3 linked regions of the Caenorhabditis elegans genome follow. The protein of the gene in region 1 purifies or fractionates together with the protein of each later gene. This does not show direct contact. Each region holds a gene or a part of one and is shown in the gene's direction. Other genes may lie near its edges.

Evidence for each region.
Region 2: the proteins of C34C12.6 (region 1) and ttbk-8.2 fractionate together in Caenorhabditis elegans (co-fractionation; one large-scale study listed by BioGRID). This does not show direct contact.
Region 3: the proteins of C34C12.6 (region 1) and lys-8 fractionate together in Caenorhabditis elegans (co-fractionation; one large-scale study listed by BioGRID). This does not show direct contact.

What each region holds. Positions count from the first base shown.
Region 1 is NC_003281.10:3,480,685-3,485,426, forward strand, and holds C34C12.6 (CRAL-TRIO domain-containing protein C34C12.6), read left to right. Parts: upstream 1-1,906; 5' UTR 1,907-1,911; coding exon 1,912-2,292; intron 2,293-2,366; coding exon 2,367-2,531; intron 2,532-2,822; coding exon 2,823-2,884; intron 2,885-2,933; coding exon 2,934-3,115; intron 3,116-3,160; coding exon 3,161-3,411; intron 3,412-3,902; coding exon 3,903-4,064; 3' UTR 4,065-4,159; downstream 4,160-4,742. Other genes in the region: C34C12.7 (PAN/Apple domain-containing protein), read right to left, coding at 4,177-4,341, 4,418-4,597.
Region 2 is NC_003282.8:5,630,124-5,633,962, forward strand, and holds ttbk-8.2 (non-specific serine/threonine protein kinase), read left to right. Parts: upstream 1-1,804; 5' UTR 1,805-1,857; coding exon 1,858-1,896; intron 1,897-1,944; coding exon 1,945-2,064; intron 2,065-2,222; exon of another isoform or gene 2,223-2,243; intron 2,244-2,384; coding exon 2,385-2,830; intron 2,831-2,876; coding exon 2,877-3,198; 3' UTR 3,199-3,256; downstream 3,257-3,839. Other genes in the region: srd-12 (G_PROTEIN_RECEP_F1_2 domain-containing protein), read right to left, coding at 1-116; srd-13 (G_PROTEIN_RECEP_F1_2 domain-containing protein), read right to left, coding at 3,695-3,839.
Region 3 is NC_003280.10:5,584,440-5,588,213, forward strand, and holds lys-8 (LYSozyme), read left to right. Parts: upstream 1-1,738; 5' UTR 1,739-1,739; coding exon 1,740-1,990; intron 1,991-2,298; coding exon 2,299-2,575; intron 2,576-2,771; coding exon 2,772-3,104; 3' UTR 3,105-3,212; downstream 3,213-3,774. Other genes in the region: C17G10.13 (THAP-type domain-containing protein), read right to left, coding at 3,264-3,774.

The sequences.
Region 1 (4,742 bases):
GTTTAAATGTTTATTATAAAGATACATTTTATAAAATCTTCTCCAAAATTTTCTGTATTTTAAAAAAACAAACACCACTTTTTTCGATGCACCATGTTTCAACCGATCCAATATACCATATTAAAAAAAAATGTTTGGCTTTTAAGCATTAAATCACCTGACTATAGATGCCTGCCTACAGATGCCTACCAACATTAAAGATTACCTAAGCCTATTCGGAGATAGGCGGTAGGCAGGTACGTAGGCATAAAGCCTGGCTGCCTACTTACTCATATGAATATATATAATTTGCAAAAAGACTTTCGTTCTCTAAATCTCGCCTCTTCAAAAACAGGAATCCGTGGACACGGATGACTACACATATATCTAAATAGTAACTTTTTGAGTGAAAAGATCTTTCAATTTCATCTTAATTTCTCCCTCACCCACCCTACCGCCTTCCCAAATGTTCCAATTTTCCCTCCCCCACACACTCACTGACCGGAATACTTTTCCCGAAGAAGATGGAAGGATTTGATAATTAGACACGCGCGCGTACAGGCAAAAGATGACACCTATTATCCACTTTTTATTCTATTCTTTCCGGATGTCATGGATCTCTTTTTGAAACAATTCACTTTTTGGAATTTTCATTGGACAAATTTTGAATTTTTTTTCTAATAGATTTTGTAATCTCGTAAAAGTCTTTCAAAAAGATTTGTTTTTTTTTAATTTTTTAAAAAAATATTTTTTCAGTTTTTATGTAGTTTTTCTTACAATTTCCAATTTTTCAAGATTTTTAAAAGAAAAATATTAATTTTTTATTTAAAAAAAATGTTTAATTTAAATTTAAACTTTTTAGACCCGATTTCATTTTTAATTTGAAAAATATTTATTTCCTCCAAAAACCAAAAAACTAGAAACTTTACAGGAATTTCTAGGAAAAAAATCATTATTCTGAAAAATTGTAAATTAAAAAGTATTTAGGATAACTCCAAAACCTGATCTTTTGAGTAGTATTTTCAAAATTTATGTGTAAAATTGATTTTTTTCCATCTTATTTTTTAATATTCTAATTTTTGGGTTTTATGTGGTTTTTTTTCAATGAAATATTAAATTTAAAATTTAATTTTTTCAATAAAATTGTTCAATTACAGAAATATTTGTTACTTATTGTGTTGCGTATGATGAAAATTCTACAAAAGTTTGGAAAATATCTGAACATATAAAAAAAGCTTTAAAAAAACCAAAAGAAAAATCTGGAAGAAAAATGATTTTTCTGAAAAAAAATTAGTTTAAAAATATTAAAAAGTGCTCAAAAACATATTAAGAAACAAATATTTTCTAATAAAATTTTAAATTTTAAAACAATTTTTTATATTTTAAGTCAAAGATGGTATAGTGTTCAATAATTCAAGATAACTTAGACTTTCATTCAAATTTCCCTCCTTCAGAATCCATTAAATTCCTTCGTCTCCTGTTTGCCTTTACATAAATTTCCATTACGTTTTCTTCTTCTTCCGTTAACATTTACCACCATTCCTTAACTGGAACCGGTTTCATTTCCTTTTTTATTCCCCCCCTGTTCCTGTTCCATTCAGAATATTTGTCGTGATTTTTGTCTTAAAATTTAGAAAATTGGAAATTAATTTGCCCATCAAACATGGTGCATTTAGTTGTGGACTCAATGCATTATATTTTATGAGAAAATGTGATAGTGTTAAGAACCTCCCCCCCCCCAAATTTTTTTAAATTTTCCTCTTTATGTTAAAATTATTCTAATTTTTCTATTTAAAACTTTTTTCTCTGGCTTCTTTCTGCTCTACAAACTCCAAGTAAAATATGGTGCATTGAGTTGCGGACCCGATGCACCATATCTTACGCGCAAATTTTAATTTTTTTTCCAACCTTTTTTCAATTTTTTCAGCAAAAATGGGCGCAAAAACCGAATTCCGATCATCCGAACCAATCACCGACTCGGAGCGTTCTCAAATCAATTCAGTGAGAGCAATGCTTCAGGAAAAGCTTCCAGATGGAATTCCAGATGATGTAAATACTGACCTAAACCTATGTCGTTGGATACGTGGATATCATGGGGATACAGAGAAGCTTGTCAAGAACTTTGCCACGTACTTGGCGTCCAGGAAGGCCGCCGGTTTCGTTGGCAATGATTTTGCGGAAAAGTTTTTCGAGCTACCAAGTATTGCTCCATTTCTACAATTTATTGCGTCATCAAGGCTTCAGGATAGACAATGGTCTGATGAGCATAATGCATTCTTGTTTGTGGAAAGAGCATGGTCACAGCCTAAGGAGGTAGGCGTGCCTGCTTTGTACCTACTGCCTAACGCCCGCGAACGCCTCTAAAAATTGACATATTGATTTTTCAGTTCATAAAAACGTTCAAAACAAGTGATTACCTACTTCATTGCTTCGGATACTCTGAAATGCTCCAGCAGCTCATTTTAAGACGGGAAAAGAAGCAGTCAGCTGATAAGGGACCCGTTCAATTTATTGTTATTTTCGATCTCAACACTGTTAATATTACGGATTATGTGGGTTTTTTGTTCTAAAAAATTCACAAAATATCAGTTATGGCCTCCAAAAATCGAGGAAAATTTAATTTTGAGTTTTGTGACGTCACACTTATTTTTATTGAAAATTTTTTAGATTCTAGAGTTGTCTGAAACGTGTTGGAAACTTCTGAAAGCTCGTTAAAATGTTAGAAAATTCTAAAACCTAAAATCTCCTGGAAACCTTTCTTTTGAAGATTTCAAAAACTGCTTGAGTTTTTTGGAAACTTCTGGAAACTTGGAAAAAATGAAATTTAATCTAGAAACTTTCAGGTGAACCCAATGTCGGGCTACATGAAGCTCTGGCAAATTCGAAGCGAGCTTTGGCAAGATTGGTTAGTTAACATTATGAACGGGCTAAAAATATAAAAAATACCAGTTCAGGTTCCCAGAAATGGTCCAACGAATCTATTTGACCAATCCACCACGGTTACTCGGGCTTCTGTGGAAAGTTGCTCGGGTTTTCTTGTCGGAGGAAAATTTGAAGAGGATTGAGATTATTTCCGATAAATCCGACTTGGCGGGGAAGTTCTTGCCGCCCTGGTTGGTGCCAAAGGAATATGGAGGTAGGCCAAAATAAGCCTGAGCCTAAGCCTACACCCGTTTTCCAGGCGAATTCGTGAATACAGTACCCCCAGGCGACGAGACGGGGGTCTCGGTCCGTCGAAAAATTACGTCTGCCGACTATTACAAGCCATATCAACACTACAAAGAGCACGGAATCGATCGTCCAAAGTCGAGTCACAAGGATGTTTCTCCGGCCGAAAAGTTCGTGTTCAAGATTCAAGTGCCAAACGGAAAGAAGCTTCTGTGGGACTTCACGGCTAGTGGAGAACTTCAATTTGCTATTTTTAGAGGCAATGTAAGTTTTTATATAGAACTATTGCTTTACAGTAACCATACAGTTCCCCTACAGTACTCCTACAGTGAATCTACAGGAAACTTACCGTAATCCTTGAGTAGCCTCACAGTATCTCTACGGTAGCTCTACAGTAAATATTTTGTAACCAGACTTTAACCCTGCAGTTTACAGTACCCCTACAGTACTCCTACAGTACCCTATCGTACTCCTACAGCACCCTACCATGATACTTACAGTAGTTCTACAGTAACCCTGTTGTAATTCGATTGTAGCCCTGCAGCAACCACGCAGTGCTCCTGCAGTAACCCTGCAGAAACACTACAGTACCCCAGCAGCTACGGTTAAAACAACACACACAACAGTAAGCCTACCGTAATTCTACAGTAACCTTATAGTGTTCTTACAGTAATCCCACATTAGCCCTACAGTAAACTACTGTACCCCACCGTACCCCAACAGCTACCCAACAGTAACATTTTTCCCATTTTTAGAACCGCAACGATCTCGTCTTCCCAAGTCTCCATCTCATCACCAACAAACTCAACGAAGAAGGAAGCCTGGACAATGTCTCGGATTCAGAAATTTCCTTCGAATTCCAGAACCTATCCGGATACTTCACGTTGAAGCTGGAGTACACTGTAGCTATTATTTGAAATTTTTTTTCGCCGACTCTGTGATAATATTGACTCCCCGTAATTTATTAATCTATGTATACATACTTTTAATAATTTTTTTAATACATACATTTATATATCTACAAGCTGGTTACAGAAAAAGAAAGACGACGAGAATGATGAGAAGACCCGTTGTGAATTTAAGCCCTGTTGAGGATGAAGTTCGTGTTGTTGATGAGTTTGAAGAAGCAGTTGCAAGACGAATTGACCCGCAATCCACTATTGTTTGAGTTGACTTTTCAACGACGACTATTGTCTAAAATTTTAAATTTTAGTTACCGGAGCCTGCCTGCCTACGTGCCTACTAGATAGGCAAACACCAAAATACCTACCTTGCTAATCACATTCTCTTCAAACCCATCGAAATCAATAACCTTCCATGGTTCAACTGCCATACCAGTATGATCTGTTTCTACGATCATCAGAGTCTTTCCCTCACCATTTACCCGCGATTTCCGGTGGCACTGACCACCTTTCTCTTTCGTGTCAGGCAGGAAATTGATCTCGTAGAGCTGAAAATTTATTTGATTTGCAAGAAACCCTACAGTACCCCCGTGATATCTACAGTAATCCTAATGTATTCTCACAGTGACCCTACAATAGCCCTATAGTAACTATGCAGCCCCTACAGTTTTCCAACAGTATCCCCCCAGTACT
Region 2 (3,839 bases), on another chromosome or scaffold:
TTGATGACACGTGGAGTTTGGAACAGTGCCAAGTAGGCTAACAAGGCATTGAAACACATTCCAAGCACGGAAATTATGGCATGAGCACATGAGAAGAGAACAGCAAAATCAAACATGACTTTGATTTCTGAAAAAGAAAAAACGGTTTCAGGGTATTTATGTAATGGTTCGAGCTAATGTGGTTGACAATTTAAGAATCTTTTTTATATTGAGATACAAATACATTTCTTATTCAAAGAAAAAAAAATATTTAACTATAAAGTTTTGTACCCTGTCTGGGTATGCATTTAAAATGATTAATTGGAACGTACTACATAATGGATACAATTTTAAAATAAGGAAGTCTCATTTGTGTGATAAAAGTTCAAAACTTCTGAATATACTAACTAGAACACCTCCTTTCCTGGTTATTTTGTCAACCAAGTAAATAATAGAGTTCCGAAATCAAAAATCGTGTTTTGATTTTATGGAAGAATTGTATAGAACAATACGATTATTACTCTATTTATTCGAAATACGTGAGTTTTTAAATAAAAAACAAGAAAATGGAGATCAAAACTATTGAATTTATTCTAGTTTTCGAATATACTAGAGCATCAATTAACGGATTTTAAAAAAGCGAAATCGTCATTGGGGGATAAGTATGAACAAAAATTAGTACGCATTTAAATAGTTGCCGGAGCATGAAACTAGAAAATTCACGGAATTTGAATTTCAGCTACTTTTAGTCATTTCTGTAGATTTTCGCAAAATAATTATCTGAGCGGGCTAGGTTTTCCTAGCTTTTTCAATAAAAAAACAGCAAAAAATATATTGTAAACTTTAGTTTTTCGCCTTTGAAAAACAACGCATACCGAATAAAGAAGAACGAAAATTCTGGTTACTAAACCGTATAAAGTGAACTCTTGAAACTGTAAAAAATAAAAAATAAAAATTTTTTAACCAAATTTTTTAAAGCATGAAATAAAAAAGCTTCTAAAAATTATAGGTAAGTATAATCATTATATATTGCTTTTCTAATCCCATCCTCTATTGTTTTTATTCTCGATTGTTCTCCATTCGGTTCCACGCCTTCTCAATAAAATGATCGTTTATCTATATATTTCTCATTTTAGGTAATCTGTCATTCTTTAGGTAATCTGTCATTAGTGAGCGCATAAGCATTGTGCTTAATAGCTTTAGTCAGACCATTGTCTGATTTTTGACCTCTTAAAAAGAATTTCTTTGAAAATGATTCATAAAGCACTTTCAAATAAGGTGCTTAAACTTCAATTCTGAGTCACTTCTGCTAAAATTATATTTCAATAAATTGGAGACTGAAAGCATTATAAAAATAAATAAAAGTTATCCAAAAAGGGTTCAAAAATTACTGTAAGAAGAGCTTTGGTTTGTTATATCTGAACCTAAAAGTTTTGCATATCAAATGTTTGCATTTTTTCTTTTGCCTTTTCCGGTTTAAAATAAAAATAAAAAAATTGAAAACAAATAGGCGCATAAGCTTATACTCCGTTCTATAATAATAAGTATCATATGCTCTCCTTGGCCTTTGTAAGCGTAGAAAAAGAAACAAATCAGTTTTATGATTTTCATCTTTAACATTTTTTTTTTCAATTTTTAATGTCACGTTTTTTTTTAATTGATTAAAAAATTATCTCTTTAATTGCAACTTTATTGAAGATAATTTTTTCAAAAAAGTTTAAAACGTGGCCACCTCCGTGTCATTATCTTTGCTCCACATCTAAGCTCCGCCCAAACATCACCCCAGGGTAAAATCAGAAATTCAAAACCAACAATTCAATCCTTACAATTTTGGAGTTTCATTGAAAAACCAAACGGCTTGTCAGACGAACATTCAAGATGGCCCAAGAGCTCATTCAGCTTAATCCCGGACAACAGGTGAGTGAGAGAGTTCGCTGCGAGACCCGCGAATTTCAAAGCTTTCAGGTCGAGAGATGGAGCATCGAGAAGAAGTTGGGAGAAGGAGGATTCGGTGCGGTGTACCGTGTATTCGACGCAACCGGCAAATACGCGATGAAAGTGGAAGGAGCCAATGAGCAGATCCAGGTACATCACAGCACAATTGTTCATTTGAATTTTTTCTGCATTTTTGAGCAACAGTTTTTGTTTCTATCTTTCGGAATCTTTCGGTCATTCTTCTTAGAATCTTAGAATTGTTCGGTTTCAAGTTTCACTCTTACACTAGAGCGCAAATGAACCAACGCTCGAATAATTGTGAGTTCGACAGAGCGCATATGATGTGTGTTTCGTGTAGACCTATGTCCCATCCTAAGCCTAAGCCACATTTAAGCCTGTAGGAGCGCAATTTCTACATTTAAGCCTGTAGGAGCGCAATTTCTCACCTGAGACTTTAAGAATAATTTCAGGTGTTGAAACTGGAAGTTTCTGTGCTCAACGAGCTCTCAAAGCGTGGAAATCGTCATTTCTGTAAGATCGAGGACAAGGGACGCTTTGGAAACTTCAACTACGTCGTAATGACACTTGTCGGAAAATCGCTTCAAGATTTGAATAAAGCTGGGGTCGGTGGGCACATGTCGATGGGTTGCTCGATTGGAATCGGCATTCAATCGTTGGAGGCACTCGAGGATCTTCATAACATTGGATACCTTCATCGTGACGTCAAACCCGGAAATTACACGATTGGACGTCCCGAGTTGAACGAGATTCGCAAGGTCTACATTTTGGATTTTGGAATGTGCAGAAAGTTTACTGGGAATGATGGAACCATTAGAAAGCCACGCCAAGCTGCTGGTTTTCGTGGAACTGTCAAGTACGCTCCAATCAGTTGCCATCTTCAGAGAGAACTTTGCCGGTATGTGCTCAAGCCCAATCCCAAATCTAATTGACTCTAATTTCAGCAAGGACGACTTGGAGACCTGGATGTACATGCAGGTTGAACTGTCGCACGGAACAATTCCATGGCAACATATCTCTGACATGAACCAAGTTGGTCAGGCCAAACAAGCGATCCGTAACAACCTTGGGACCCTGTTCCCACCGCCATGCCCACAACAATTCCAGGATATTATGCGTATGGTTGATGCAATGAAATACTATGATGCACCCAACTATCAAGCAATATACGGAATGATGCGTCAAGCTTATGGTGCTTGCGGATCCAACGAGAATGCTCCGTACGATTGGGAAAATGGAGGACCAGCTGCTTACTTGCTCCACTAGAACATAGACTTGATATCGACTACTCCTTTTTTGTATTGAAATAAAAATGATTATGATGAAAAGTTTTCTGTTTTGTTATGTAACACAAATGATAGAAATTATGATAGGGTCCTGGCACAATCAAAAGTTTTTAGCTACCGTACCAGATACTTCATCTTGCTAAACTAGAGCTTCTATGCAGGCCCTCACCCGCCTGCCTCACCTGCGCCTTCTGAATAGTGTCCTGCTGAGCCCATAAGGTCTACCTATATGTATGCATCAAAACGAGAAGGCCTGCTTGAGGAGACAAGGCTCCAGGTTCCCAGCGTCTACTTCCCATGATTTTCATCATAAAATATTTGATTATGTTGGAAAGGCTAAATTTTTCTTGAACTTGTTTCGAGATATATTTGAATTTTAATTAATTTATTCCGATTTTTGTCTCATAACTGGCATATTGTTGTAAACAAATTTTTAAGCTATTTATACAATTTACAAAAACCTTTTTAAATGAATTTTACCCAGTATAAGCATTGCTAGTATAGATATTACGTGTTAAAGATGATTCTCCAGGTTCAACACGAGTCGTTTTGAAAAAGTAGTGCATGATAAATCGCCGGTACGGAGTAACAAAAATAAAAGAAGCTAGTGGAGAAAGAAGT
Region 3 (3,774 bases), on another chromosome or scaffold:
TTCGAAGTTCATCAAGGAAAAGTATGTGAATGCCAAAATATTGCATCTCGGAGAAATTCAAAGTGCTTTCGTCGAGTTGAGCGTTAGTTTTTTTTGAATATATTATTTATTTACACAAATTATCATTTCAGTTTTTCCATCGTACATCCGCTTTCACTTGGCATCAAATCGCTGAACGACAACCTCCAAAGTCTTCATATCACACCGAGAACTTCGACTTTCAACAATTCTTCACAGCACCTCCAAAAATGTAAACTTTGACGTCACCAATGATTTTTTTATGATGATTTATGATAATAAAGTGAGAGAGAAATGTGTGTGTATTCAGAAGGAAAAAACATAAGTAAATACAGGAAGAAGCTAAAAAAGAATATATATTCGTTTTTTTACGATATCATTGAATTTCTGATTTTTCAATTTTCAAAGGAACATTGGATATAGAACAAGCTATATGATATCTGGAACATCAAAATGTGGCATAATATTAAAAGTAATGAAATAGGCGGTAGGCACATAGACAGGCAGGCGGGCAGTAGGATCACGAAAGAAATACAGAACATCGACGACAGGCATGAAGGTAGACATGTGGCAGGCAAGTACGGATGGAAACTAAAATACTGAAAACCCAATGTAGGTAGGAGAGCCTAAAGAGGTCCCTGGATATAATTGAAGCCACTTTAAAGTTAAGTAAATATACGTTAACTGAAGAATTCAACAATTTGGCCAAGAATTAGTTGAAATTAATAATGGATCAAAAATCTTCAAAGTTTTTAGAAAATACCAATAATTGGCTTCAGGACTAAAATTTATCGTTTTTGTTATTTGTTCAATGAATAGACAGACACGTCACTTTTCATTATCAAATACTAAATTGATCTCGAAATGGATCTACAATTTCAGCTGTTTCAACAATTCGAATTCTTTACTCTCTGTTCCTCTGGAAATGACATCACTTCTTAAACTCGTCATCTTCGTTTTTATTCCATCCAAAGACAAATCTCGACTAATTGAATTCACATTAAAAATAGATTAATGATTTTTAAACAATTGGATTGCTCACAGGGGCTATCGTTGGATGTTAGTACAGTTTAAACAGACATGTTAAACGGTAAAAATATAGTGAAATGGGAAAAATTATGGAACAAGAAGGAGAATGTTTATTCAGCTGCAAATGGGATTTTTGTATAAAAGAATTGGTATAGTGCTGAAGGAGAATATCATACATTTTACAGTTCTAGTTTTCAAGAACTTTCAATTTTCTTCGCTGTTATGGTCAAAGTTGAACGTAAAACATATGCATAATCGCTTTGAAAATCTTACCACTATCTGTTAGTCAGAAAAAAATTGTGTTCACTTATGAACTATCAATTTAATAAAAGACAACAAATTGTCATTTACGAGAATTTGAACCTAGAAAAAATCATCAAAACGCCCACGCTCAATTACCGGTATTCCACATAATTTGTGATGTTCTTTTCATCGACATTAATGACATAAAAGTGTGTACACAGTTACTGATAACAGAGTGTGATATCATGATAATGTTTTCCGAAATTATAAATTCAGATGGACAAGCGGTACTTGCCAGCTCTTTGATAAAGACTATAAATCATGATAACCACTCCAGTTTCTTCAACATTTCGGTTTAGTATTTGATTTTTATAAAATTTGGTTTCTTATTCTTTGTTCTTTTTGTTAATAATTTTCTCTTAACTCATTCAAGTTGAACATTTTCTAGAATGCTTCTCAAATCAGTGGCTCTTTTGTCAGTACTGGCAGTACTTTGCCATTCGGCTTCAGTCTCCGTCAAGGTCCTTCCATTCGTTGACTCATCTCTTCCAGTCAAATTCAGAGAAGTCATTGCTGAGGCTGCTCCACGAGTTCCACCAAATTTGGCTTCATATGCTTTCGCTGTTGATTTGTCTGTTCCAGTTTCATTGAGCCAGCTTCAGTGCCTCAAACAAGCTGGTTATTCGGCAGTCTTTGTCCGGTAAGAATTGAAAAAGATTTTATGATTTACCTATCTATAAATTGTTATTTATAAAAAAAAGTTGAATCTTTTTTTGCCCAAGGTTGGCCCAAGTGTAAAGATATTGTCAACAGTTGAATTAAACTTGAGCTAAACCAGAACAAGTTCTGGTCATGTATTGTCACTTCAGAACCTTTTTAATATTTTTGGCCAAACTTGGGCAAACATTTGCCTGCTTTCGTTTCTGATTAATTCATTTTTCGATTCCAAACGTTCATAATTTGATGAACATTTTCTAAAACTCCATAACAATTAAATCGAATTTCCAGTGCATACAACCCAGCTGGACAAGGATCCTTCGACACCAACTCCTGCAATACTATTCAGAATGCGTATAACGCTGGACTCGGAACAGAGATCTACATGACTCCACAGCCGGCTTCAAGCAAGCAAGGATACCAACAATTGGATGAGATCTACCAAGGATTGACTGCAAGAGGAATAACAATCAGATCTGTATGGATCCAGGTCACTTCTCCAACCAACTGGCCAAGCAATGCTAATAACAATGTCAACTTTATCAACAGTATTGTGTCAAGAGCTAGAGTAAGTTTCCTGTAGAAGCTTGATTTTTTGCTCAAGGAATTGAAATACATTCAAATACGAAAACTCGAATGATTCGTATTATAGTCTAAAACATTGATTAATCTGATAAGACCTTTGGGTTAAGACGTTTTTAAACTGAACCGATTAGTTCATACTTCTGCAACAAATTTCATATCAAAATTCATATAATTTACAGCAATATGGAATGACTGTCGGAATCTACACTTCCTACTACGACTGGAACCAGATCACCAACGGATGGAGCAGCATTGGAAATGATGTTCTCCTCTGGTACTGGAATGTCCTTGGAGGTGGTGTCAATGGAGAGACCCCGGCCAGTTTTGCTGATTTCCGCGCGTTCGGATGCTGGACTACTCCATCTGTCAAACAATTCGCTCAAGTTGAGCAAGTTTGCCAGTTCACTGTCAACAGAGATGTTTATGCTGCTGGAACTATGCTCAAGGCCGCTGACGCTGTTGAAGAGGATGGAAAGATCTACGCTGGAGGATTCATTCAAGGAAGTCAATAGATTTTATCAGTTCCGAAAATAAGTGGAATTTGACTACTTATATTTTGTATCTAACTGTACCCCCAATATGTTATGAAAATCTGAAAATAAAGTTTATTACAAAAAAACAAAACACGAGAATCTAAAAACAAATAACAACAAAACAATGCGAGCTTGGCTCTAATTTTCTATATCTATTTCCGAGTCCGTTCCCTTTTCCATTTTGATATTCGTATTGTCTTCTTTGACTTCAACGAACGTGTTTCCTTCAAGCTTGAATGCCAGTACTTTCTCCTGGGAAACAACATTTGGAACAGCTGTTTTAAGAAGTCGTCCACGAGAACTGAAATCCGCTTGCGGGAAATGTTTTCGACACATGTAATTTGCAGGTTTCATTCGAAGACGTATACGGAATTGTTCTCCTAATATTGCCACCCATCTGGCAATTCGTTGCTCGGTTTTTGGAACTTGCGTCATGTATCGCTTTTCGTACACTTCCAAGCAGTAGCAGCATTGTAGTGGATGTTCCATGTTTTGGTTAATCATTGTATATGATCTATTTGGAAGACTGGGTGTGGTTTTCTTGATAATTCGAAGAATTGAAGATGAACACGAATCTTCTTCAAGTTTCTGTTTTCTCGGCTGTCGGAAACATTTAGGTAAAATTCCATTCACAGCAGTCGTGGATGAA